Linked DNA regions of Daphnia pulex. Each later gene encodes a partner of the first gene's protein in a complex. Links are inferred from orthologs where the notes say so. Each region holds a gene or a part of one and is shown on either strand. Other genes may lie near its edges.

Evidence for each region.
Region 2: the proteins of voltage-dependent calcium channel type A subunit alpha-1-like (region 1) and uncharacterized protein LOC124203590 are in contact, whole or in part, in a crystal structure (PDB 4Z8A), measured with the Drosophila melanogaster proteins. The link is inferred for Daphnia pulex from reciprocal best matches to the Drosophila melanogaster genes cac and Rbp. Residues at the interface, in NP_001245639.1 of Drosophila melanogaster: Ile1688, Gly1689, Arg1690, Arg1691, Leu1692, Pro1693, Pro1694, Thr1695, Pro1696, Lys1698, Pro1699, Ser1700, Thr1701, Leu1702; in NP_732029.4 of Drosophila melanogaster: Ile1353, Leu1355, Tyr1356, Tyr1358, Leu1363, Pro1365, Asn1366, Val1367, Asp1368, Val1372, Glu1373, Thr1378, Gly1379, Asp1391, Gly1392, Phe1393, Leu1404, Pro1406, Ser1407, Asn1408, Phe1409.

Annotation. Positions count from the first base shown.
Region 1 is NC_060024.1:7,077,687-7,081,503, forward strand, and holds part of voltage-dependent calcium channel type A subunit alpha-1-like, read right to left. Parts: intron 3,752-3,817; coding exon of another isoform or gene 3,713-3,751; intron 2,313-3,712; coding exon 2,065-2,312; intron 1,987-2,064; coding exon 1,977-1,986; intron 784-1,976; coding exon 593-783; intron 386-592; coding exon 270-385; intron 192-269; coding exon 97-191; intron 9-96; coding exon 1-8. UniProt on the Drosophila melanogaster protein: Voltage-sensitive calcium channels (VSCC) mediate the entry of calcium ions into excitable cells and are also involved in a variety of calcium-dependent processes, including muscle contraction, neurotransmitter release, gene expression, cell motility, cell division and cell death.
Region 2 is NC_060026.1:13,166,439-13,170,955, reverse strand, and holds the start of uncharacterized protein LOC124203590, read left to right. Parts: upstream 1-1,624; 5' UTR 1,625-2,024; coding exon 2,025-2,852; intron 2,853-4,093; coding exon 4,094-4,213; intron 4,214-4,300; coding exon 4,301-4,453; intron 4,454-4,517.

The DNA.
Region 1 (3,817 bases):
TCCGAAACCTAAAAAGGCAAAAAGAAAATGAGGCATTCAAATAAAGTGATTAGCGTTGATTCAAAATCGATTACAAAGGAAGAATGAAATCATTACCATCGAAGGATGAATCATCCGAGAGCGAACGTGTCTCTCCTGGCGTGTGGGCGTTCGGCAGCGGGAAAGGCTGTACTCGTCGCCGCGCAGTTTGGCTACGATACAAAGCAAGCATTTGACACAACTGTGGCCATTTTGGAGATGAATTTTTCGTTGTGTCGGGGTGGAATTACCTCTCGCTCGTCCCTTGCGACTCGTTTCGTGTTTGACAATGTCGACCACGTCCGAAACAGCATCGCTGAAACCAATATCGTGCGCCCGCCGTGGAGGCAAAGGAGACATGTCTCTCCTATGTCGCCAAGATGAGACACAATTACATGTTAACCTCTTAAAGAAACTAAGATGTTGAGTCAAAGTGATTTGATTTAGTAAGATCGAGTAAGATTTAGTTAATTACAGCCACCGTCTGAAGATCTATATTTCGCTATAATTCGCTATAATTTACGTACCTTATGGTGTTCTATAAGCGACGTCATGTCTAATTCATTGTGATTACCTGTAGTGAGGTTGTGGAGAGTGAGATCGTCGCAAAGCGCAAGGTGAAGGTGACCAGGCCCTGCTGTTTGGTCGGTGCATGCCAGCCTCACCCTCAGGCTTGAGTCGGTGCATGACTTTGCTTGCGGATTCAACCGACGGCGGCCGTGAATCGTGCTGGTGATCGAGTTGATCCGTCAGTATCTCCAGGGCCTGTACATTTCAATAAGGGGGAAAGGGCATTCCATTAAAAGTCGTCTGCCAGGAGGATCTCACCACATTGGATCGACAACTCATAAAGCTGCCAAAAGTGCGAAAACAAATGAACTCAGCTCAAAAACTCGGAAATGATTTTTTTCGAAGTTTTCTACCACTATAATATGTACAAAATGAGTATGCGAATAATACACCGAGATGCGCCCAAACCAACTACGAGGGACGTAGGATTGATGTAAAAAAGCGTAATAATGTAGTAAGAAAATAGAGAAGAAAAATAAGGTAAATAGAAGAGCCCCGTATACTGTACAAGCTACACACCTACCTGGTGAACATCATTTGAAGTGTAAAGACTCATTTTCTTATTGGATATATAAATAATGGTAAGGAAAATAAATGTTGAAAAAAAAAGTTAATAAGATCAAATGGCAAACATCAAATCGTGACTTACCGTAACCTTTTACGCAACAAACAAACAGGTAACCTAAAATATATAGACTGGAGGGTCTCTGAAAAATGTTTCTCGCTTAGTTCTTTTTCCCATTGCAAAAGAGTCTCATAGTTGGCTGAATTTTTTAAGAAAGAACAAAAATCCAGTCATTTTTTTGATTTATAGAACTCGGCAAGAGCTCATAAAGCAGATGACCAATATTTGGCGTATTTTTTTTTTTTTTTTTTTTTTTTTGTACGTAGTCGAATGTGTTGCAAAATAGAATGAAGTATATCAGTCTGGATAAACAGCACAAAATTAAGCTACAGAATGGGATAACAAGTCCACGATTCTACAATAATGGTCACAATGGTTCACAGTTGGGTAACCAGTGGACTCCAATCGTACGAGTTGCTTCACTAACAATGCCAATGACAAGCCTTGGCCGTTTTTTGAGAATAACTTGTGTCAAGTCGAAAAAGAAGTAGGGTGGATTCAATGGAAATGCAGACCTTCAATTTAGTACCGAAGGTTGAGGAAACGTTGTTGTTTTAAGATTAAATTTGTAGTGTGTTGTCTGTGTGTTCTACTCGAGAGATACGTGTTGCTGTAGTAAGTAGCTAACGTTATAGTCATTGCACATCCATCCAGTCGACAGCTTACTAGGTCTAATACTACGTCTGACTAACACCACACTATCACCACCGTCACAAGTCATTCTATGCGCCTTAGTCCATTCGGCATCACTGCCATAGGTCACCTTGTTAGAGCTGCAATAAATCAATAGAAAAGAAAAACAGTTGAGTTTGAAGTTGGTAAAGGCACAGGTGAAGTGATATTTGTTTTACCTTGAGGAATTAGGCTGGTTGGAGAAAACTGCGGCGAAGCGATCGGGGGCGGGGGCTCCCGGAATGAGATCGATTACCGTGCTAGCCTCTTTCTCCTCTTGGTGAATTCCGCCGCTGCCGTGGTTTGCCAAGGTGGTGGAACCGGAGTTGGAATTAGGGTGAGAATGGGAATGAGGGTGACTTAGCGAGCCTTTGTTGCTGCCCGTGCGGGCCATACTTCCCATTAAGCGTTCGAAGAGCGACTGTTTCTGTTGTTACGTATCGAATTGCGGCCCAAATCGAGCCAGTCGCAAGGGTTGATGGCGATAATTTAAAAAACAAACAAGAGAAAATCAAATTTTAAGGTAGAAGAAAAAAAGGAATATACCGGTATACCAAGACCAAGACTCAAGCAAATCAGAATAGATAATGCTTATGAGAAAAAAAGTGAGACAGCATGTCGCAAAATTTGCATCATTCTTAATGGTATTGTCATGACATTTTTTTTCCTTTTGAATTTTCGATTGGCTTTGTGTTTGACGTCCACCGTCAAACGCAAAATCAATGTCTCTTGAAATGTCTAAAGCGTTTTAAAAAAATTGCCTATTCATCTAGTTTTTGGCAAGATAGTGATGATGAGAGCGCTCATAAAAGAGATCCTTCTCCATTTAAAATGTTTAATAAGCATTTATTTTTTTTTTTTTTTTGTTTTTTGTAAAATTCAAATTGTGGTTCATTCACGATTTTGAATCGTTAGTTATTACAATTGATGAAAAATATTTCTTTAGCGAGCGATATCTCTCGGCACTTTTTTTGTGTACGGTATACATAAATATACCGGCAATTGCATGTTTTTTTTTTAAGAATAAGCATAACTTAAAGTGTCGTATAACAAGCACTAGTTAGTTGCTTCATATTATTAAGCTTTTAAAAAGATTTGACATATTATTATGTACATTGGAATCAGATCGATCCAGAAGAAGAAGAAAAAAGTATGTTCTATATGTAGGCTATTTATCGCGCCAAATGCAAAAATAGTTGTGGTACTGTTCAGGAAGAAAACCTCTGAATTAACTGATTTCTGCAGATTATTTTCTGTTGATTTTGCTGTCGGTGTTTGGATGGGAGGGAGATGGAAGTTAAACTAAGGATAAAATCATGCAATCCATTGAATCATGCTATGAAACATGTGCCTTCGAAGGAGAGTCAATATATAATGGTTGAAAACGAACGAAATATTTCAAGGATGATAGAACAACATAGAACCCATCCCTTGACGGACCATTTACCTGTTTTTCGATTTGCTTTTCATGTTGAAATTGTCCTAAAAGCGTCAGTCGTTGACTGAAACTCAATAACTAGGTCTAGAAATCTTATGCACAGCAACATTTAGATCACATTCAACGAGCGCATGCCAATAAAGATCCTATCTACTGCCAACCGACTAGCTGAAAACACATAAATAACTAGTACAAATCAAAGCTGAAGGATAGTCAAAAAATAAACATTCTTATTTTAGCCTGAAGCGGATCTGAGAAAAAGAAAGCTCTTTAAAAAAAATCGTTCTTAGAGATATTCAAGCGTGGGTGAAATGGCAGAGATCGAGAAGAAGAGATTTTGTTGGTTTTTGGTTTTTTTGTTTGAAACGATTGAGATTTGAGATTACTACCGCTTCAGGAGCAGAACACTGAGCGGTGGTCGGCTTCTCCTGGAAAAATGCACAACCAACCAAGAGATATCCATTTGAGCGACGAAACCACCGTAATGCAGAGAG
Region 2 (4,517 bases), on another chromosome or scaffold:
GTCTTTCCTAACAAAAACTTCCTGGTGCGTGAAATGTTTTAACTTTAGTTTGTATCCTGTTGTCTTCCAGGCCGGCACCAATAATATGCCATCCACCACCACCACCACAAAATGGAAAAGGATTTAGAGAAGACGAGCCGGAATCGATCCATTTCCGGCGGGGAGAGCAACAACAATGAAGAACTGGTTTCGATGGACGTCGAGGAGGAATCGGAAGCCTCCACCGCTTCCAGTTTGAACCAACAACAACAGCAACAACAACAACGGAAGCTCTGGCGGAGTAAATCCACCGTCCGGTCGCAAGAGTCGAGTCTGGAAGCGGCGACGGCCGTCACCAACGACGAGTTAAAAGAACTCAAACAATGGTTCCAGGTACAAAATATAATCAAATATGTAACATCTGTCCAGTTTCTTTGTAACATCTTTGCCTAAAGAAAGAAAAGCCTTTCGGCCCAGCTGAAAAGGAATTATTTATTATTTTTCTCCTTTTTCTTCCCCCTCTCCTGTGGAATGCTGGACACGGCCGGGGGCAAAGAGAAAACGAGTCCAGACTGTTCAAATGACTTTTTGGCTTGGTGGTGGTTGTACATAAAAGAAATTCCAATTTATCTCTCGATGCCGAGTGTGTCTGTGTGCGTGGCGGACGGACAATTTCACGTAGGCGGGCGATTTGAATGATGAGGAATCGTTTGTGCAATTGTGTGTCGACCACCCCCCAACACAAACAAGTTTGCCCGTTACGCCATTTTCACGGCTCATTTGACGTTTCACAAAAGAAAAAAAAAATTAATTTTTTTTATTGGCCGTTGGCGGCCCGGAATTGCTTGTTTTTTATTATATTTCTGCCCGTCTCTTTTTTTGTTGTTGTGAAAGATGATGATGATCATCTGGCGGGAAATTTAAAGTGGGCACAAATAAATAAATAAAAAGAAAACTAGTTGGTCGCCTGGAGGCGAACTGGCCGTCTTCCAGACGGGCCAAAAAGAAAAACAAACAAATTTCAAGTTATTTCTAATTTTATTCTGGCCGTGTGATGAATTGAATTTTCCATTTGATTTGATTTTTACAGTGGGAGAAGAGTCTGTCGATCGACGCGGCCATCCACCAGGAGCGTCTGGTTTGGCAGCGGCAGCAGCGCGGGACGCGGTGCGGAACGGTGGCGGAGAACGAGCGGCTCAAGGAGCGGGTCCAGGTGCTGGGCCACGAGAATTACGAATTGACTCGGATGCTGAAAAACGAGCAAATCCGCAACCGAGACGAAGACGCCAGTCAGCGGCGCTGCCTACGCCAGGCGGCCGCCAAAGCCCGGCTGGAGACCAGGGCCGCCCGTCGGCTCCAGGTCATGGAAGCTGCCGCCGTCCAGCAAGCCCAGCTGCAAATCAAACAGCTTGAAGAGGTTTTATTCAACAAAAACAAATCAAATCTATTTCCTTTTTTAAATTCAATTTCCTTTTGCTGGACAACAGACGATCGACGAAAAAGATAAATCGATCGCCAAACTGGAAGCGGAAAAATATTACCTGGGCGAACGCGTTTTCGAATTGACTGGAGTCGAGGAAGGTTTCTGGAGCGACGAGGTTTTGGTAAATAACAAAAAAAAAAAACAATTTGGATTTTTCACACTTTTATCATTTCCGGATTCCATTAATCCTCGTTTAACTGGAACACAAATAGTTCGATAATGACGTGTGGGATTTTTAGACACGACCGTGAAATCCTACACCCCCCCGGGTGGGAGGAGGGATTTTTATTCTATAGCGTCAAATGGAATAATAGCACCTGCGTTTTTATTTATTTTGAAATGAAAGGCGAGTCGTCGTCGTCGTTTTTCATTTTTCTATAAAAGACGGACGTTTACATTGGGTCGAGTTTAGTCACAACTTATCCGGCGTCACTTGCAAGTTGCCCGTCTCTTTCGCCACATGTGTGCACAGTTTATGCACTGCCAGATGCGGGATTGACGTCATTCGCCCGTTTTTTGTTCAACCGGATTGGATTTCGTCCACTTTTTGAAAGAAAGAAAAATGGCTGACGGATGGATTCCGGCGGACAATGGAGGAGCCCACAAGGATCTCAGGAGGAGGATCTCGAATTCGGCCCAAAGTTTGAACCGATTCGTCCGGCTGCCCAAACCCAAAAAGTGTCGATCGTGGGGCCGTCAGTTGTTGCGACGCTGGTCCAGCAGCGGTGCCAGTCTTTTCGGAGGATTTTTCGCTTCCACTCCGTCGGCCGGTGGATCCTGCGGGAGGAGTGACGTGAGGAATCCGGATTCTCCTCCTCGGTCGCTGGACGCGGATGTTTTCGCTTCGCTGTCGTCGGATTACGTCCACTTTGGGACGGCCACGCCCCCTCCTAAGCCTCCGCGAGTCCGTCGGTGGTCGACAGTCAGCGATGGATCCTGCCCAACCGACTGTGAAGGATCGCTCACTTCTGTGCAGTCGAGCGGATTACTGCAAGAGGAGGAGGAGGAGCGACGGTTGTTGTTTTTAAGGTTCCAGCTGGCGGCGGGCGCAGCTGGATGTTGTTCCAGCGTCGAGTTGTCGGTTGGGCCGGCAGATGGCGTCGGCCAATCCTCAGGTGCCGTCGCCGACGACGTGGGAGAAGAAATCCAAGGGGCGGAGTCATTGCGGACGAGTGGCGATGAAACGCATCCATCCGGTGCGGATGAAGAAGATGACGACGACCAGCACGACGACGGCAGCAGCAACGGCCACGACTGGATCGTCACGAAAAGAAAACTGTTGCGTCCATTATCACCGCCGCCGGCCACCTCTCACCACCACACCCACGGTGACTTCCGCTTGGAGGACGCCCGTCTCTTGTGGCTGGGCTGGCGACTAGGCCGTCCGGAGGTATGAAGGCCTTTGCCCGGTCGCATCCGCAATTCCGCTCACGATTTCAACCCCTTCCAAAAAAATAGAAATCGATGGGCCGCCTCTTAGATCACTGGGTTTTATTTGCATAGACGGCCCGGAAGGAGTCAGAGGGGACTACAGAGTTGTTCAAACACTTTTGGAATTTTTATTATTTATTCCGGCGGATTATTTTCTTTTTCTGAGATTGCCGCTGGCCCATTTGTTGCGGTTTGATGGACGGAAGAATAGAAGAAGAAATATCACCCGGCCCGGATTGCGTGCTGGGCGACGACCCCGAAAAAATTTCAAAACGACAATTGTCAAATTTTTTGACGGCCTTCAACTTTATTTTTTTTGATTTATTTTGGCGTGTCCGTCGGTTATTATTATTTGGCCGTTCCAACTGCGATTGGTCCGTTTCTTTTTCTACAAAAAGAAAAAATGGCCACGGTCACTCTCCTTTTGTGGTTTACATTTTTTTTTTTAAAGACGGCCCTGTCCAATTTTTTCCTACGAATGGAAAGAGAATGGAAGAATCTTTTGGAAAAACTGGAAGAACTTCCGTTCGGCCTTGAGGGTTTTACATCCCCGACACATTACGTCAAGTTAGGAGTGGGGGGGAGAGAAAAAGTTAATTAACTCTGGTCCCGGAAGTCGCAGTGAATAGAAAATTTTTTTTTTAAATTTAATTAGAATTAGAATTAAATTATTTGAATTTTAATAAAATTTACAATTCCATTTGGCGGAATTGAAAGGAAAAGAGGAATTTAGACGAATAGCAGTTGCCACTACTGTTGTTGTTGTCAATGTTGTTGAGGGTTTCTCTGTTGGGTTGTGCTGGGCCGTGTGTACCTGGCCGTGTCCGGGGGGCCAACGGGAAATGCCTGGAGGAATGTTTTTTTAATTTTCACGTTTTATTATAACCCTCCTCCCACTTTTCTCCCTTCCCCCCTCTTCCTACCATCCTACCATCCACCTTCTGGTTTTCCAGCAGCAACAATTGGGTAAAGTCATTCGCTGCTGCCGGCCAGCCGAATCAGTTCATGTCGAAACTTCATTGACTCGAGTTTATTTTTATTTTTCTTTGCCCGTCTCTCTTTGTGTGCCCGTTTGTTAGTTTGAATCGAACTGAGAGTGGAAGAAAACGATTTAATTTTTTGGATTATTTCGCCCGTCTGTGATTGTTAGTTTTGTTAGTTTTGCCCGGCTGAAATTGGATTTTCAAAATTTTGATTCAGACGAAGCCGGTGATATCGGAACGAGAGCGCGGACTATTGCAACGGGCCAACAGCCTCAATATCCACATCAGTCAGCTGCAACGGAACCAACGGATCTTGTCCAGCGAGAATGAGCAATTGGTGAACACAAATCAAACCAAACCAACTGGCCCGTCGTGGGAAAATCAAATTTTCATTTTTATATTTTTTCTTTTGTCATTTGTTTAGAAACGTCAAATGGAGATGGAAAGAGAGCGGCCGGCCGGCCAGCTGCAACGGGAACGTGAGCGTCAGCAAGAGCTGCAACTGCTGCGCAGGAAAAATGCCGAGCTGGCCATGCAGACGAAGAAACTGGAAGAGAAAGTCCGCAGTCTGGAAAAGGTATGAGATTCTTTTTCTTCTTTGAACAAAAAGAAACTGCTACTGGTGCATCCGGTACATCCGG